2 linked regions of the Neodiprion lecontei genome follow. The protein of the gene in region 2 purifies or fractionates together with the protein of the main gene of each other region. This does not show direct contact. Links are inferred from orthologs where the notes say so. Each region holds a gene or a part of one and is shown on either strand. Other genes may lie near its edges.

What was found. The genes of interacting proteins can lie anywhere in the genome.
Region 1: the proteins of la protein homolog (region 2) and 60 kDa SS-A/Ro ribonucleoprotein purify together in Homo sapiens (affinity purification with mass spectrometry; 3 studies listed by BioGRID and IntAct, with this or other methods). This does not show direct contact. The link is inferred for Neodiprion lecontei from reciprocal best matches to the Homo sapiens genes SSB and RO60.

What each region holds. Positions count from the first base shown.
Region 1 is NC_060262.1:27,929,883-27,938,661, reverse strand, and holds 60 kDa SS-A/Ro ribonucleoprotein, read right to left. Parts: upstream 6,730-8,779; 5' UTR 6,625-6,729; intron 6,613-6,624; exon of another isoform or gene 6,436-6,612; intron 6,242-6,435; exon of another isoform or gene 6,218-6,241; intron 5,620-6,217; 5' UTR 5,598-5,619; coding exon 5,394-5,597; intron 5,276-5,393; coding exon 4,924-5,275; intron 4,754-4,923; coding exon 4,542-4,753; intron 4,465-4,541; coding exon 4,259-4,464; intron 4,176-4,258; coding exon 4,055-4,175; intron 3,978-4,054; coding exon 3,553-3,977; intron 3,479-3,552; coding exon 3,346-3,478; 3' UTR 667-3,345; downstream 1-666. Other genes in the region: nose resistant to fluoxetine protein 6, read right to left, coding at 7,775-7,912, 8,014-8,156, 8,388-8,562, 8,677-8,779. UniProt on the Homo sapiens protein: RNA-binding protein that binds to misfolded non-coding RNAs, pre-5S rRNA, and several small cytoplasmic RNA molecules known as Y RNAs.
Region 2 is NC_060261.1:34,445,513-34,453,505, forward strand, and holds la protein homolog, read right to left. Parts: upstream 5,322-7,993; 5' UTR 5,055-5,321; coding exon 4,896-5,054; intron 4,669-4,895; coding exon 4,315-4,668; intron 3,146-4,314; coding exon 3,003-3,145; intron 2,805-3,002; coding exon 2,720-2,804; intron 2,615-2,719; coding exon 2,354-2,614; intron 2,144-2,353; coding exon 2,002-2,143; intron 1,824-2,001; exon of another isoform or gene 1,742-1,823; intron 1,659-1,741; coding exon 1,564-1,658; 3' UTR 797-1,563; downstream 1-796. UniProt on the Homo sapiens protein: Binds to the 3' poly(U) terminus of nascent RNA polymerase III transcripts, protecting them from exonuclease digestion and facilitating their folding and maturation.

The DNA of each region.
Region 1 (8,779 bases), on a different chromosome or scaffold from region 2:
TAATTCATGCAATTACAGTTGAACAAACTATAATCATGATTAAGAATCGCACATATCAGATTGTATTCGTAAGATCGAGTTACGGTAATTGTGATGGTTGAAATCATTGAAGCATGGTGCGTGGACTTTCAAATGAAAACATATCCAAATCGTCATTGAGCAATTGACTACGTTGTTGCATCATGGGAATTTTCAATTTTAAAAAAAATCGAAAATACCAAGAAATTAATTAAAATTATATCGGCACAATAATTACTCGACGATTATGACCTATTTAACACTGGAATTAACGCTCACAATATATAGTGAAAAATTACTCACTCAATCCTCATATTATTTAAAAGTTTAACGAAAATAAATTGACTCTAATATACTTGGTCGCTACAGTGGAATTTTTTTTTAATGCAAATAGTTGATATTTTTTCACCTGGTACGAACACATGGAACGTTTTTTTTTGCGGTGATCATGGATCTACGTTAAGATTTTTAACTATTTTATCAAAAAAATATAGCACGCGATAAATAACATTTCGTTAGATAGCCAAGGATTTAAATTAATTGCTTTTATCATTTTACAGAAATGTTGTTCTATTAAACATACCAATTTTTAACGGACTTTATACTTAATTATTTCATACATGATTCTATGAAATCTACCTAACATCCATTATCATTTGTAGTGTACGTTCTTATCATACACATTTTTCGCATTAATTGATTTTTTTTTTTCAATTTTTTTATTCTTTAATGCTGTTTTCACGTTTGCTGTAAACACGGACCCTCATTTTAACACAACGTAACTTAGTGCACGTGAATAAATAGATCTCACCAAATTCATAAATTTTGGAATATAAAAAAATACTGTTTTCTTCTGACGAATATTATATTACTTTTAACCTAAATTCAGATTTTATGAGAAGAATAAAAGTAAAATCACCTAAAAATATTGTATATTATACATTGACAATTTTATAGAGAAGAAAATTTCAGAGTAAAAAAAGGAAAATATGAGTTAATACATTAAATTCGATAGTTGAAAAAATAATGATAGCGATATAATATTCGTTATTGAACAAAGCTTTATCCCGTGCTTTTATTGATTATCAATAAAATCGTTTATACTATATCATTTAAGACTAATTAACAAATTAGGTGTAGCTTAGCACACTCCCGATTTATTTATTCATTTTTCTAGTTTCAACAATAACAGTGGATTTTATATCACAGTATATAAGTATAAGGGATATTCAGTGTTTACTTCTCGTTACTTTGGATATGGCAAATATGAAATAACAGTAAAAATTACACTAAAAATTGTAAGCTTACACTCTTTGGGGTTAAATGCATATCACAGAGAAAATTTTTCATCTTTATTTATTCTCTTTCTTTCCACTTTTTTTTCACATTTTCTATCAACTGGTGTAAACCGGGAGTGTGCGAATTTCTAATTCATTATGCATTCGTAATAGTTATTACTAGAGCCTGGGTAAATGTGTATTACAAATTATAAAACATGTACGTATAATATAAACTTAAAAAACCTAAAATATGGGGGAAAAAAAATATAAAAAATAGAAACTGCATTTTCTGGCTCCAAACATCTTACTTTATGTAGAAAACCAAATAAGAAATAAAAATGATTTAGTAAAAAATATATATTCACGTATCAATCCAGGCCCTAGTTATTACACACTAAAAGTATATCAAAAAACCACAAACCCATAGCCAAAACCAAGATCAAATTGAAGCAAAATTATTATTACAATGTATAATTTTTGAGTATTATTATACGTATCAAGCATACTGTACAATCGTAAGCCTAAATACTCTGCTGCGTTTGACTACTAGCTTGAAATCAAAATGTTTCGAACTCATAAAAAAAAAAGCAACAATAAAAATGCATCAACATGCGATATGCAGAATGACATTAAGCATAAGGAGAAAAAAAAAAAATTTCTTCTTAAAAGAATACACGCCTTATTCTTAATTGTAATCACATAAAATCATTATCTAATAGTGGTATCAACTTAGTGTTAAAGATTCACAGTGCAAAATAACGCATATTTTATTTTTCTATTATATTTGTTAAATAGAGAGTGTCCATTTTTTTTCACCACTGTTAATCACGTGCTAAGTTAGAACTTTATAGATTTCTAATTTGTCATGGTAAATTTAGATAAAATAGATAAAATTTAGTAGGACCCGTTGATATTTTTTTTTGCTCGACTTTTAAAGAAACATACCACGATGACACAGAATGGTGTAGACGTTACAGCGAAACACAATATGACCAATATGTATTAAGCCATTTGTGTTCATGTACTTTGACGTTTTTCCCATAAAGATGCTCTTAATAGCAACGAGATATTCAAATTCTATTCGAGAAACGAATTCCATGTATGGTAAATGTCTCGACAATTGTTAATTTTTTTTGTATTATCGTATTAGTGGTAATTAAGTCGTGATTTATATATTTCTCCCGTGTCGACCCGAGTCACATTAAATCTAGAATAATATATTCATAAAATGATCTAAATGCGGCTAATAAATCGATAAATAATCAGAGCTTTATCAAAAAGGTCAGTCTGTGTGGGTTGTCGACACTCTACGTTAAAGTAAAAGATATCTTAGGCAGTTGTAGTAATTATTTAGTCTCTCTATCATTAAACTATGCAGCATTAATTACTCCGATTATCATATCATTTGAAACCATGGCCAACTTCACTTTTTCCAGATAATATCTTTTTTTCCCCATTTTAATTATAATCTTTACATAGATATATCTTCGAACTTTTTCACATATTGATACTCTTTATCATTCATATTGTACGAAATAGAAAACACGGAATCACTTCTAAAATAATTCTTGATTCTACTGCTATCTGCCACAAATGTTTCTGTCCAGCTATAAGCAAATAATGTATACAAGATAATTAAGAACCTTGAAAACTCCAGACACAAATTAAAATCGATAGTATGAAGTGCGTAGAAAATTTTGGACCTTGAAAGAACAAAATTATACAAGTATTTCTAATGTCGCAATAATAAATTGTTAGGTATTGTATGTGCAGGACAGATAAAGATTAAGAATTGGAAGATGAAAAATATAACTTCATTTCCAACAGCTGCAAAATGCAACTGACTAACCTCTCGTGATTAAATGCCATTCTCATTCTCCAGGGTGATTTGTAATTTTATAACTTGTAACACACTGATGTATTATAGCCAATTTGCGTACGTCTCTTGTTCCTGATGTACATTGTATTTTTCCTTTTTTCTCTTTGGTTGGTGTTGAGACATTTGTGGCTGTTAGAAAAGGTTAGGTTAGAAGGATATCGTTGCAAATTAAAACAGGGACCTTGCAAAAGCTTCGATAATTTTTGGGACATTCTCATCGAATCCACAGATAGTGAGAGTGTTTTTGTCGTCATCGCTATGAGGTACCATTTGTGCAGTTGTCATCGCACAGGTTACTAATCTATAATGAATGTCAGAAATGAGTAAATTGGTGAAATGATAGAATTTTATATGTCATGTGTGACAAGCACTTACTTTGCATTTTTTAGCTCCATTTTGCTTCGATACTCTTTGATAGCTTTCCTAGGGTTGTCAGTTCTCGCTCCATTCCCACATCTTTTGTCAACAACGTCGACTACGTTTATAAATACGTCGATTTCTTCACTTTTTTGAGCTGCCCAAATCATTGGCTTTTCCAAGTTAACCTCCCCTGTTGGCATTTGCTTCATTTTCTTCACAATTTGTCCCAATGATGCATTTTTATTCAAATATACAATATGAACACCAATATTTTTGAAAGTTGCCACTGTTACATTGTTCTCACTCCGAAGAAGGCACAGTGCTATCAGACATCCTGCTTCTGCTGAGCTGAGATTTCCACACCGCCATGCAGAATTGTCTTGCATAGCTTTGCTCATATCTATTGTAATCATATATCGAAGACCTGTTGGTGCCAGACTCTAAGATGGAGATAATAATAAAGCATCAATCTGCGTTTCCCTGATGAGCAATGATGTGACAGAATTATACAACTTACATTAAACGAATATCCAAGTGTTTTGTAAAGAGCTTCAATAATTTTTCTTGTAGGTTTTGGCGGTGGAATCACTGATCTTGCTTTGGCTTTTCTGGCCTTCTGTTTTTCGTACGATAAAGCTCTGATAGAGAACAAAAAAATTGGTTACAAAAAATCTGTTAGTTAAATTTGTGACTAGCATACAAAACATATCAGATTACATACGGGCCAGATTTTTCGTAATTCTTAATTGTGATCAGAACCAGAGCTGGGTGAATCTTTTCCTTGAGTAGCTTCTCTTGGTTGCAGATTTCATCAACTACTTTATCGACTGCCGCGCCAGTTGGTTCTAGTATTCCAATGTTGTGCATTCTTTGGAGATTGTGAAGCAGCATGGTTATATTCATTGTTGGTATCAATGAATTCCATACCTGATTATATCGATTGGCATGTCAATACTTTATTCCCAGTTTTATTAACATTCCAAATTAATGTCTGCGAAAGTTACCTCTTCAGATTTCAGTAAATGCCCAGGGACATGATCCAATGTAAGATTATGAAGTTCTAGCAATCTGCCAGCCAATACTTGATCTTCGCAATGTTTAAAATTTTCAATTTTTTGAATATACTCAATCACTTCGGCAGCTTCCGGTTTATCGCCAAAATCTTTTATCGTTTCTTTCAACCCGAACAATACGTACTTCAGAACAGCCTTCTTTGCTGTTTTACATACAAAGTTGATACATTAATTATTCATGCATGATACTGAGAGCATTCGATTATTGCTTGTTTAGTCTCAAAAGGACCAAAGCTGTTGGCACTATTCTAACAAGTATGAAACTCAATTGTAATATAAATGAACCTGAATAGTGTGGATTGATTCAAATTACCAATATCGTCTGTTTTGGGATGAGATAATTTCACAATATCCTTGTGAGTCCAGCCATATCTGCCTTTGCATCCGGTAACACACTTCGCTAAATCAAGTGCATCTTTGGACAAGTACCACTCATTTACAGCTTTTCGCCATCCGGCACCCCAACCGTGTTTCGGTTCCGGTGCGCTCTTGGCTATTTGAGAAGCAAACTTGACGAACAGAATGAAATGTTGCGGTGTTGTACAAATTGTTTTTATCGCATTGTAGGCAGCGTGGCGCAGACTCTCGTTCTCAGTTTGTCTGGCACATACTGCCAGTGCAAATATCAAAGTTTCTGAATTTTGTACCAGTTTTCTTTCAAAAGCCTGAAAAGGAAAATGACTAGAGATAAACGAGTATTCATATGTAGCTCAATAATCAGTATTCCCGTTGTGTCTAAGAAATAATTAGAAAAACATTGATTAACAGATATAAACTATGTACCTTTTTAATCAAGTCGATTGCTACCAATGGGTTCTGTGTTTCGGCTATTTTTTTTATGGACTGAACGCGACCTTCTTCATAATAATTGTGAAAAAACCAATTGCCTGGTTGATAATTTGGGTATTCTTTCCCGACATACAGATATTGGCAAAGACGTACTTCAAGTTGAATTAGACTATCTCCTGATAGCGCAGGCTCCGCCATATTTATTAATTATACGTCAATTCTGTAAATCGATTATTATCGTTGTTATTATTAATTTAATAATTGTTTTTCCATGTAAAACATTTCTAAATCCATGTAATTTTTCTGCATCTTCCACTGGTGGCCAGAAAAAATTTTTATGGCATATATCAATCGATGTAATGCTTTTCTGTCAATATATTATACTTAAAATACGTGACTGTTGATTAGAATATTTATAAGCTGCAAGCTGTAGAATTTACTCATCGAAATACCTCTAAAAAACATATATGGTGTAGATTAAAAGCCTATATCAACACAAGACTTTTACCCTTAATACGTGTTTTCAAAGTTGAACAAAATCGATGAAGTAGCGGATCGTGTAACATATTATCTAAGTAGGAAACGTACAAGTCGAATCCAACCCAAATTTCCACCGGTGTCTAAATTTGAAGATATTCAATTTCGGAGTAACAACAAAAAATGTCGGAAAAAAAGCTAAGTGAGCTGAAAAGAATCGTTGTAGCACTTTCTTTTAAACACCGTTTAATGCATTGTCAAAAGTCAGTGCAATTTGTGAAATGATATACGCATACGCATCAAGTTTGGATGAGAAAAATTTTGATTAAACATTCAATTACAATATATCTTATCCATTACATATCCGGCGTATTTCCATATATGCATAGCCGCGAGCTGATCGTGGTTAGGTATTCAGTGAACAATGTAAAACGACGTTACGACCGTCGAACTCGTACGTACTTCGTACTCCGAAATGCGAAATTGGCGGAAGAATGTGGAATGCGTTAAAGAACCGACACACTCACGCACGTAATTCCAAACGCGTAACCGCAATTACCTTATAAAGCGAGTTGGAAAAAAAGAATGAGACAATATTGATACGAATATGACATGACGTGACGTCAGGATTCCAAGCGAATTCTCTTCCTCTCGTTTTCAACAGGGTGCTGAGTGGCTGAATCATTCGTTGGCTAATGCTAAAACGGTGTTATGTTCTTGTCGTATTACCAGAAAAACTAACGGTTACCTGATAATATCGGAAAAATGTCTGTAGCGCTGCCCAAATACGACCATACAATATTTCCTACGGACAACGGCACGTCAGTTGCGATGTTTGCACCATAGACTTATAAAAGATAGACTGAGCGCTCTCATGAGCCGTTTGAAGCAAACATTTAAAGGACAGATATATGCCGCGAGTACTCCTTTCTCTCTCTGTCGATATTTGCGGCGGGGATCGAGGCGGCAGAGGAGAATGAGGCGAAATTATACGCCTATATCTATAGCTGTTCCACTTCCCGTGAAGGGGAAAGGAACAAATTTTGGCATTTCATTGCCATCTCTCTCGACGACTGTCGGTAAGATAGAAGAGCTTTATCTGACGGCTTCGTGAAATCTGAATTACCTGTTTTTTCACCCGCGATCGTCTAACTGTTCGAAATTTGTCGGGTTCTTATTGTTTTTGATGAATTGAGGTGAAGTACGTATAGGTGACAGATTGATGGTTAATTAAAAGTGAAATTGGTGATTCGATTTATATAGAAATTGTATTTTATTATTTACAGGCTACAGATAAAACGTATCTAAAAATTAGGCCGTATAATAAGATCAAATCTAATGAATACGGTACATATTGGTAATGGGGTGTACAATATTAACATATATTGACGTAGCGCGTTAGGGCGTATTAGATACAATTTAAATAACTTATATTTGAAAATTATCTCACTTACAAAAAAAAAAGAGATGATATCCGGAGAGAGTCTGAGAGAATTACATTCGAAATAATTCTAATTATCTCATCCTAACAAAACACTCCTTGGCAAGTGTTTGATTCAGGTACCACAATGTACCAAGGTACAGTTTACGTCTGGTTATTTTCAAGTATATAGTCGTTTATAGTTTCGTACCCACGTCAAATGCTCGCCGAAAAATCCTCGTATGCTTCCATACAAATATCTTAAACAATTGATAAAAATGGACTATAGGTAATAGCTGCATGATAAAACTATGCCTATTGGTTTTTATCGAAGTAAACAACTACACAAGCTTCCCTCTTGACTCTCATACAACTGCATTCGTTACTCCTATTACAATATGGAGTATCACATATTTTCTCAACTATCGTATATCACTTTTGCACCAAAATTCAACGATGATCAAACACACTCTTGGATTCAAGGAACTCGTGGGATTCTTCTTCGCTTGTTAGGTGCCAGGATCTTCAGCATAGTGACAACCGGAGCCTCGAAAGCCAAAGAAATCGCGAATGACAAGGCATACGAAAGCACGAATTGCCCGAGGAATGTTATCAACTGAAAAGTTAGTTACATACGTTAATCGTTTGTTTTAACCGAGTGCAATGCAACCCAGGCGAATTTAATACCCTTTTATATTTACGTCAGAGTTTACGTACCACAGTATCTTTCCCAAGATGAAACGGTGCGTCTAGATTCATTGCTGTTAGTCGAATAACGATAGGATGGACAAGGTAGGCACAATAAGTAACTCTGCTAAACGGGTGCAGAATTGGCGCCGATAATATGCTGTTGACGTAACCTGAATAAGAAAAATTAAAAATGTCGTTAATACGATTTGAAGTAATGAGTCTATTACCATCTCTGTAAAAAGATCTGAGAATTGAACAAAGTCTTGTTTCCTTTATCTTTGTCCAATTTCAGAATAATTGTGCAATTTGAACAATTATCGATTAAAAATTTGTCTCTGTAAGCGAGCATAGATTCAGGCCATGAAGTTATAAATAATTTTTCATATATTCTGTCAACTGACCTCCGTAGCCTGTGCTGCACGCTACGACTATCCATGCTAGTCCAAGTGACCATGCGCTGTGGCTTAAGGAAGAGTAAGCAGCTGCCGTTGCAAGACTCAATTCCGTCTCGTACAAACCGTAGAGTAAACTGAGAAGACACGCTGTTGACAGTAGCCAGCCCACAGTAACCGTCATCTGAAATACGAAAGGCATTATTTGAATGTCGATATTTTTCAAGTAGCGTTTTACGCGTAAGATGACAAATCCACAACAGCGTGGGTGTGAAATATGTGTAAAGCAAAGACCAACCTTGGACATAGTAATTTTGCAGTTTGTCTTGAAGAGTAAATACCCTACGGACATCCCAATCAAATAAGGACCAAGCCTCGTCCAAGGCTTGTCGTAAATTTTG
Region 2 (7,993 bases):
TCTTTTGGTCAATAATATTTATAAATGAACATCATGAGTATTGTTTTGATACACTTATGGCACTTTGTGCTAGTTTCCTTGGAATATTGCATTTTTTGTTCATCATCTCATATGCGCAGAAATTCGTTGCACGTGAAAAATGAAACACTGGAATTATTTTTGGTAAATTCCAGGCTCATAGCTCGTTGATATTACTGCGGATTTTATACATGCTGTCCAAAAGATAACAGAGTTAAGAAATTTATATTATAAGAGATCGCACACATATACAGGGTGTCGCAATGTCTATTATCTACAGAATTTAAATACTGTTTTTCTTAACTGAAATATCCGAAAACCAAATTGGTAGGTTACAGAAATTAAAGAAACTGCCGACAGCCTATAGTATATGTATACAACATACTAATAAATATATCACTGATTATAAAGGCATAGGTGGGAAATTGTAATTGTGATTGTTAATTTTAATATTATTTTGTGAGTAAATGCAGTTAAATAATTCTGTAGTAGGGTGAATTGTACGAAGCTAAAATCGCTGTCTTTCTTCCACTTATGAGAGATGTTTCTGAACATTGATGTCGAGCTATTCAAAAGTCGCAATTTGGCTGGTTGTATAGGCCGTTTTTGTACCTGCGACATTTTGTTGATATCATTTAGTCTCCGACGTAAATTTTAATGACGCGATAAATACGAACTTGCATATGCACCTATGCGTTTATAATTTGGTATTGAAGTTCCGAATATTACACGTTGTTTTCCCCCTATTTCTTAAGTAACTGCTTTTTTCGCCGGGTAGTTGCACCAAGCGTGTTCCTATACATATGAATATAGATTATAATTATATACGACGAATATACTAACGCGATCATGTAAATAATACGTCAATCGAATAAGTCCTACGTATAATTAGGTAGGCTAATTATCAAATCCTGTACATACAAGCAAATACAAAGTCTTTTGAATGTAAACTGACAGCGGAGAATTTGAAATAATTTATTTTAATCTCTAATTTCCGCCATACCACAGGAGGGGGGGAGGGGGGGTGCGCGTGCGTGTGCTTTCTGGAATGATGATCGCGGAGGGGAGTCAAAATACTAAACCTTCATGCCGAAAACCGGGCACATGTACATACCTGGTTAAAACCAGATCAAACCTCACCGGGATTTCGTTGCAAGAGAAGTAGGTCAACAATAAGTAACTGTGCAGGTCATGTATAAGAAATATAAGCCAACTTTTAATTACATTCTGTTAAATTAATACATTATCCTAATATATTATGAACGATACATAATAAACAAAGGAAGGAAGCAGAATGGCAAACGCGGCGGTCATATTCGCCACAATAAACTCAAATGAATGCAGTCTTCAATAATATTTTTGTCTTCAAATTATTTGAAGGTGTCTCGAGATTTGAAAAAATACTATACATCGCCAATGAAGTTATTACATTGTTGTAATGTAGTATATTTTATATTTATATATAATATATTATATATAGATATTTATATGATTCACGACTCCTCTCTAACGACGGTGTTAACTTGCCTGTTGTATGAGAGTCAGTTACTCGGCCGCTGCGACCTTCTTTGCCGGAGGCTGTTGCTTATCTCGATTTGGGCTGTTTCTCCTTTTGCGTCCACCTCTGTATCCGCCTCGGCCTGAAAATGAAAAATACGTAACGCATTATTGAGTTGTATCCCAGTAATCGAGTAAGGTAAAGAGCCTCACTTCAAATAGTAGTTTCCATCAGTGCGTTTAGAAAATTTCAACTCAGCGAGATCCTGAAGATCTCTCAGTATTAGCATGGCTAGTCATCATTTAAACTACTTGAATTTCGATAGTACGTAATCAATTATACTGCCTGAAGGGTGACTTGATTTTTCTCAATTGAAATAGGTTAGTAACTTAAATTTATTGGCGAAATACATGATTGATTCACGTTGTGTATAAACATCCAAGGCTCTAAATTTTCTAGAAAACGAAGAATGATAATGTGCTCACCGCCTCTTCGGCCGCCACGTTTTCCTTTGTGGTCATATTTCTGTCGGAGATTTGCCATCTCCTCTTTGGCTTTTGCTAAGTATTTGTCCTCTTCTTCGCCTTCCAAAATCCTGCAAGTTACTTCTTTGCCACTGATTAGAAGCTATAAAGTACAGAGCAATATTCCAGTTAATATATTTCGAATTATAAACTTCGGATACGTCAGAACAACTGATAAACGCTATTTGTGTGACATTTATATTTCATATAGTTACGGTATCTGCTGTGCTGAAAGTAGCGCAGTGTATACCACGGATTGTCGAGCTGAAACTCATCTGCATTTTTGAGCGTTCAAAAAAGATATACCGCTCACCTTCCCATTTTCCATCTTTTCGAAAACTGGGAGTGCTGCTTCATCACCCTGAAGTCGAGCCCAGCCCTCCACGTCACCTTTTTTGAAATCTATGAATGCAACTCTCCCTTCTAGGGCTCCTAGACGTTCCTTGATATCTTCTCGAGTGGTTTCTTCAGAAAGGCCAGACAAATGGATCACAGACCCCTTGGGCAATCCTTTCTCACCTTTTTCTTTCTCTCCATCCTCTGTGTCTTCTTCCCCTTCGGCCTCATCAGCTTCCTAAGACATAATTACAGTATGAAATGTAGAATATCATTCATGGAATCATAATTTCAATTATTCAAGGAGATTAGATAGATTAATTGATTGAAGAAAAATACAAACTTTGTCTCCTTTTTTGCCAGTCTTCTCTGCCTTTTTCAGTCTTCTTTCTTCCTTTTCTTTAGTTTTCTCTATATAGTAGTCTGATCTATATAAAAAAAAGAAGTAACATTATCCACAAATACTACATCCCTACAATAAGATAGATCAGGCGATATGGCTCATGAACGGAGGAAAAATGATTTCCATGTCCTTACGACTAAACACGATTACATTTTACAATCAGTAGTAAGGCATCCAATCATATAAAATTGAGGAAAAAGAGAAAGAAACAAAAAATACTTACGACCATTTTCTTATCAGTTCAGTATCTTCGTATTTGAGGGACTCCTTCTCCATAAAACTCGTCGCAAGTTCGAGTGTTTTGAATTGAACAAAAATAGAACCTTTGAACTGTAGTTTTTTCTCCTTGTCTTGGTACTTGCGCATCTATAATAATAACAGTATGACAAAACAAGCAGATGAGAAATCAAAGATTCTAGTGTTCGGCAAGTTTAAATTTCAGAATAGATTAATATCCTTGCTTTTAACCGATTTCTAGAGCAAAAAATGCTGTTTTCTACGATCGAATCGATACAAACTGATTGGATTAATTGGACCCCAAGGAAGCTAAAAAAGACGTCAAGAGCATCGGAAAGCCAACAATTGAGGAATTTTTCGAATGTCGCTCTTGATCTGCTGCTCACAGCAACTCTAAACTTTGCATAATCAATTTCTATCGCAAAATTACAACTGTATAGTGTGTTAACTGATTAATTCTAGCATTATTCAATATTGTCAAAATTTCGGTGAACAGAATTAAAAGGGGTTTCTTCATTCTACTGATAATTGGAACCGAAAATTTTGCATTACAGAATCGAATTGTGGGATCCTTCCTAGACAAATCCAAACCTCACGAATGCAAAAGAGACATCAACAACATTGATTACTCTTACTTGATAGCACTTGGATTTAAGGCGTCATGCCCTGGTCTATGTAATGGATTCTTTAGGTGGTTGGAGTACAATGCATCGTAACCTATTTAAGGGTATTTATGAGAATCCATTCCATATTTTTGCAAAACATTCGATTAAACTTTGTAGTATTGCTAGCATTTAGATGTTAGGAAGTACGCTCTGGTCAGCTAAGACCAATACGTTATTGCAAGACTTAACAATTTAATAACTTGGAGACTGTAACCCCAGAGCCCATCTTCCAGCGAGATAAATGGATGAAAAATCTGTATATTTATTTAACCCTGGCCCATTCATGGCAAATTCTGTCACAATATCATCATCATTTGACAGCAAATTTTGATAAAACATTATCTTAATTCTCATATATTTACTATTAGATCGGTCATGTAACGCAATGCTCAACACACGTTAATAAAAATAATTGGAATCGTAAGAAAATGATGTCTGAGACCAACACTGGTATTACATTAATCATATTAGCTATTGATTATTCTATGTAAAATTCCTAGTGTATGTCTAATACATGAAATATTGAGTGTGGATTATAAATTTTGACTGCAACTAATCTGCGTTTATCAATAGTTTCAGATATTTCATTGACTTGCAATAGAACAGGCAATATTTCGTTACTTCGGTCCTTACCACAATGTTTTCCACAGGTCCATAAGGCTGGAAAAATACTTTGAGTTTCTCAATATTTGTGTTGTTCAGAGGAAAGCCTTTGACATACACAGTTCGCTCCTCTTGAGCTTTTCGGTAGGCTTCATCAAAAACTGGTAGAGGATGAGTAGGAGAGCGTCGAAGCTTCTTCTTATCTTCGGAAACTTCCATTAGTTCACTGCTAGCTAACGCCTTGATAATAGTTTCAAGATCAGTGGTCATCGATGCTAGCATCTTGAACTTTAGCAGAACTGACATTGGAATCCAACCCTCATCTAGTTTGGACTGTTCTATCAAGAATTTGTCCCGCTGCATGTTCACGTCGCCGAAGTAGAACTGTAAATTATTCACATTCAAGGATGGTGCATAATTCAATTACAAAAATTCATACTCTAAGACAAGCCTTCATCCATCAGCACTTGTAACGATGACAATTCAAATGAGATTTGGTTAGTGAAGGATAGGGATGGTTAGGTGAGACTGAAGCCGAGGGCGGTTAATGTGGCTTCGTAAAGGACAAATTCGACGTTTTACTGTTGCGAGAATAAAAGTTATGGCCTTACCTCAATCTGGTTTCGGACTTTAGCCAAAAGTTCTGGGTTGGGTTCATCGCCAGTTTTCTGCTCGCCGGTCGGAGTATCCTTAGCCGGGTTATCTTTAACCTCACTTACGGTAGCGTTGGTCTGCTCTTGGGCCTTCGCCACGTCGTTACCGTTCTCCATTTTCTGCGTGATTCAATAATGCGTATTTCTTTGTATTGAACTATTTTTCGAAGTGGCTTATACAAACAGCCGTGAGTTTTAGTTAAATATCACTTCGCTTATTTTCAATGACCAGTAACAAACACGTGCACCGAACACCTAGTAAATGCTTCGAACGCGAAAACGGAAATGAGAATTAGCGGTACGCTGACGCCAGATACAACCGTTGGTAAGCGTCGGCCACGAAGTAACACTAGAGAAACCGAACTCAGCCGAAGCCGAGTTCAAAAGTTGGCTCATTATACATACTGCACGAAAAAGGCCAAGTCCGCAGAACGGAAAAGCTACATGCTCGCGCATGCGCTGTTCGCAGTATAGCCGTGTCTTTTTCTTTCTCACTGAGAGTGCGAGCGAGGGAGCTCCATGCATATTGCCCTGATGTGCTTTGGTGTGACAAGCGAAAATCGTTACCGATTTCGACATGATGCTAGCTGCAGTCACCTTCCAAGTAACACAGTCTTCGCAATGCTGAGCCCAAGCCAGTACTCAGCCTATGTGTACTTACCGAATTCTCGGCGATACAAGAAATTAATAATCAGAATAAATTTCTTCCAAAGTTCGTAGCAAAACAGTGATTTAATTAAAGTATAGGTACCCGAGAGAAGAATGAACTCATATTTAGGTCAGATGTAATAACGATCCAGAGCCCAAAAAGTATATATGTATATGCGATCCATGTACGATATTAATATATATGATCCATTTACGATTAATTCGTGATGCATACTATAAAGTTTATAATTTTCCACGAGACAAACTAGATTATCTACAATAATCGGCTATGACATTAAAATAGAACGGTTATTCATTTCGAAATGGGATTCTCTTCGACACGCGGTCGATGTATTCCACAACATTAATATTCATAATTATTCCCACAACATTTCATTTGCTCTCTCGATCTTGAATTTTCGTAGGCATAGAATCGAAACGCTGTTTTAGCTACTCGAAAGTGAAGACTCTACGTTGGGTAGAGAAGCAGAATTGTTTTTAGAAAAGTGTTCATATGGAAAAAAGTTCAGAGTAACTGCAATACATCACGGATGCGCTAATTTTGATCGAGATGGAATAGATCCTCCGTATACGAGACGGTATACGAGTACAACGCAGTGTCCTGATTTGAAGACCTAAAAAGGTGATTGTCGGCGATTTTTTTTTTTTTGACAAGGAGAGATGGAACGAGGCTTCTTAAAATTTCGAGTGTATTTTAACACGCATTTGAAAGCTAAGAGCGAAAATTTTTATCATCCAACTGTCGCAGGACAGCAGCGTTATTGGCTGACCCGTTGAATAAAGAATATATCTTCAGTCAACGGCTGACCATCAAAGGGCCTAGACGCTTGAGTCTGGAATCGGTAGGAAACATAAAGTGCGTATTTCTTGTCTGGAACGTGGAAACTAAAATCATTATACATCATATCATATCATCATACATCATACATCATACATAGTATTAAAGTTCGAAATCTTAGATTGGATGTTCGGATGTTCGCATATTCAGAAAGTGATGTCACCTAAAATTTCCCTTGATGTCATCGATCGGAAATCAGCTAGCCGAATTTTTCAGTCTGGAAACAACCGCGCAGTGGAGCGGACGTATGAGAATCGCGCTCCGCAGATTTCGAGTACCGGATTCTCTACCTCCGTGGTTCCTGCAATCGGGGTTTGCTTACTGGTGCAACTCGAGTTGCAGAACAAGCGCTCCGTAGTTTGTATGCTCCAGGTCCGCTACCTGGTGAAACTCGACTTCCAGGACAAGTGCTCCGTAGTTCTGACTGTCCTGGTCCTTGACCTGGTGACTTTTGACCTTCAGGACGAATTTTCCGTTGTTCTGGCTGTCCAGGTCCTCCAACTGGTGAATTTTGACATCCAGGTAAAGCGCTCCGTAGTCCAGGTTCTTGAATTGGTAACTTTTTACCCAGCGCTGCGTAGTTTCTGCGCTCCAGGTTCGGTTCCTGTTGAAACTCGATTTCTAGTGCAAACGCTCCGTAGTTTCTGCGGTCCAGGTCCACTACCCGGCGACACTCGACTTCAAGAAGAGGACGAGGAGGACGAGACGATGCAGGAAGACATGGAGATCAAAGAGGACGAGGTGGACGAGGAGGATTTTTCGCGCGAGCCCAAATTTAGTAGCTATCAATTTGCTGATGAAATTTCTATAATTTTTTAATTTCCTTTTTTTTTTGACCAGGCGGATGTTTCGAGAAATTTTATAAAGGGGACATTATAGATATATCCATATAGCGTGAAACGGTAGGTATACGGAATGAAACGTTGCCCGAAAAACAGATTCAGATTCGTTTGAAATTCTGTCACGAACAGCCGAGTTTACCAAAGTAAAATGCCAAACTATCCGACAAGAACGCGAGGCAATATAGCCTGAAAATGTGCTTTTCGAGGAAGGAGAAGGTCTGCTGTACGCGCCTGGCATCGCTGATTAATCGGTAAGTCACTACAATCACTAGTTTTCACATGTTGAAACTTTAAACGCGATTATCTCGAAACAACATTTTCAAAAACTACTCGTGTTGTAGCTCCAAAAGTTATCGACCGATTTCGATGAAGTTTTGGGAGATCACACTCTGTAATATTATCGGAAGGATGTACCTAAAGTTCGAAAGGTAGCGCGTAAATAAATACCATTTTAGGGGGTAAGTATGTCGAAAAAAGGTCAAAAATTCGACCCTTGGAATAAAAGGACTCCCAAATTTTCAATTTTGCACTTTGTCATCATTTCTTAGGTACATCCTTCCCCTTCATATGTCAATAAACGAATAACACTTGTTAAATCTTTTTCAGATCAACAGCAAAAGAGTGACAACTGCAGCACTTTTCGATGTCACGGAAAACAGGCGTCCCAAGACCCTTGATAACGCCGCCATTTTATGTATGATCGCAAC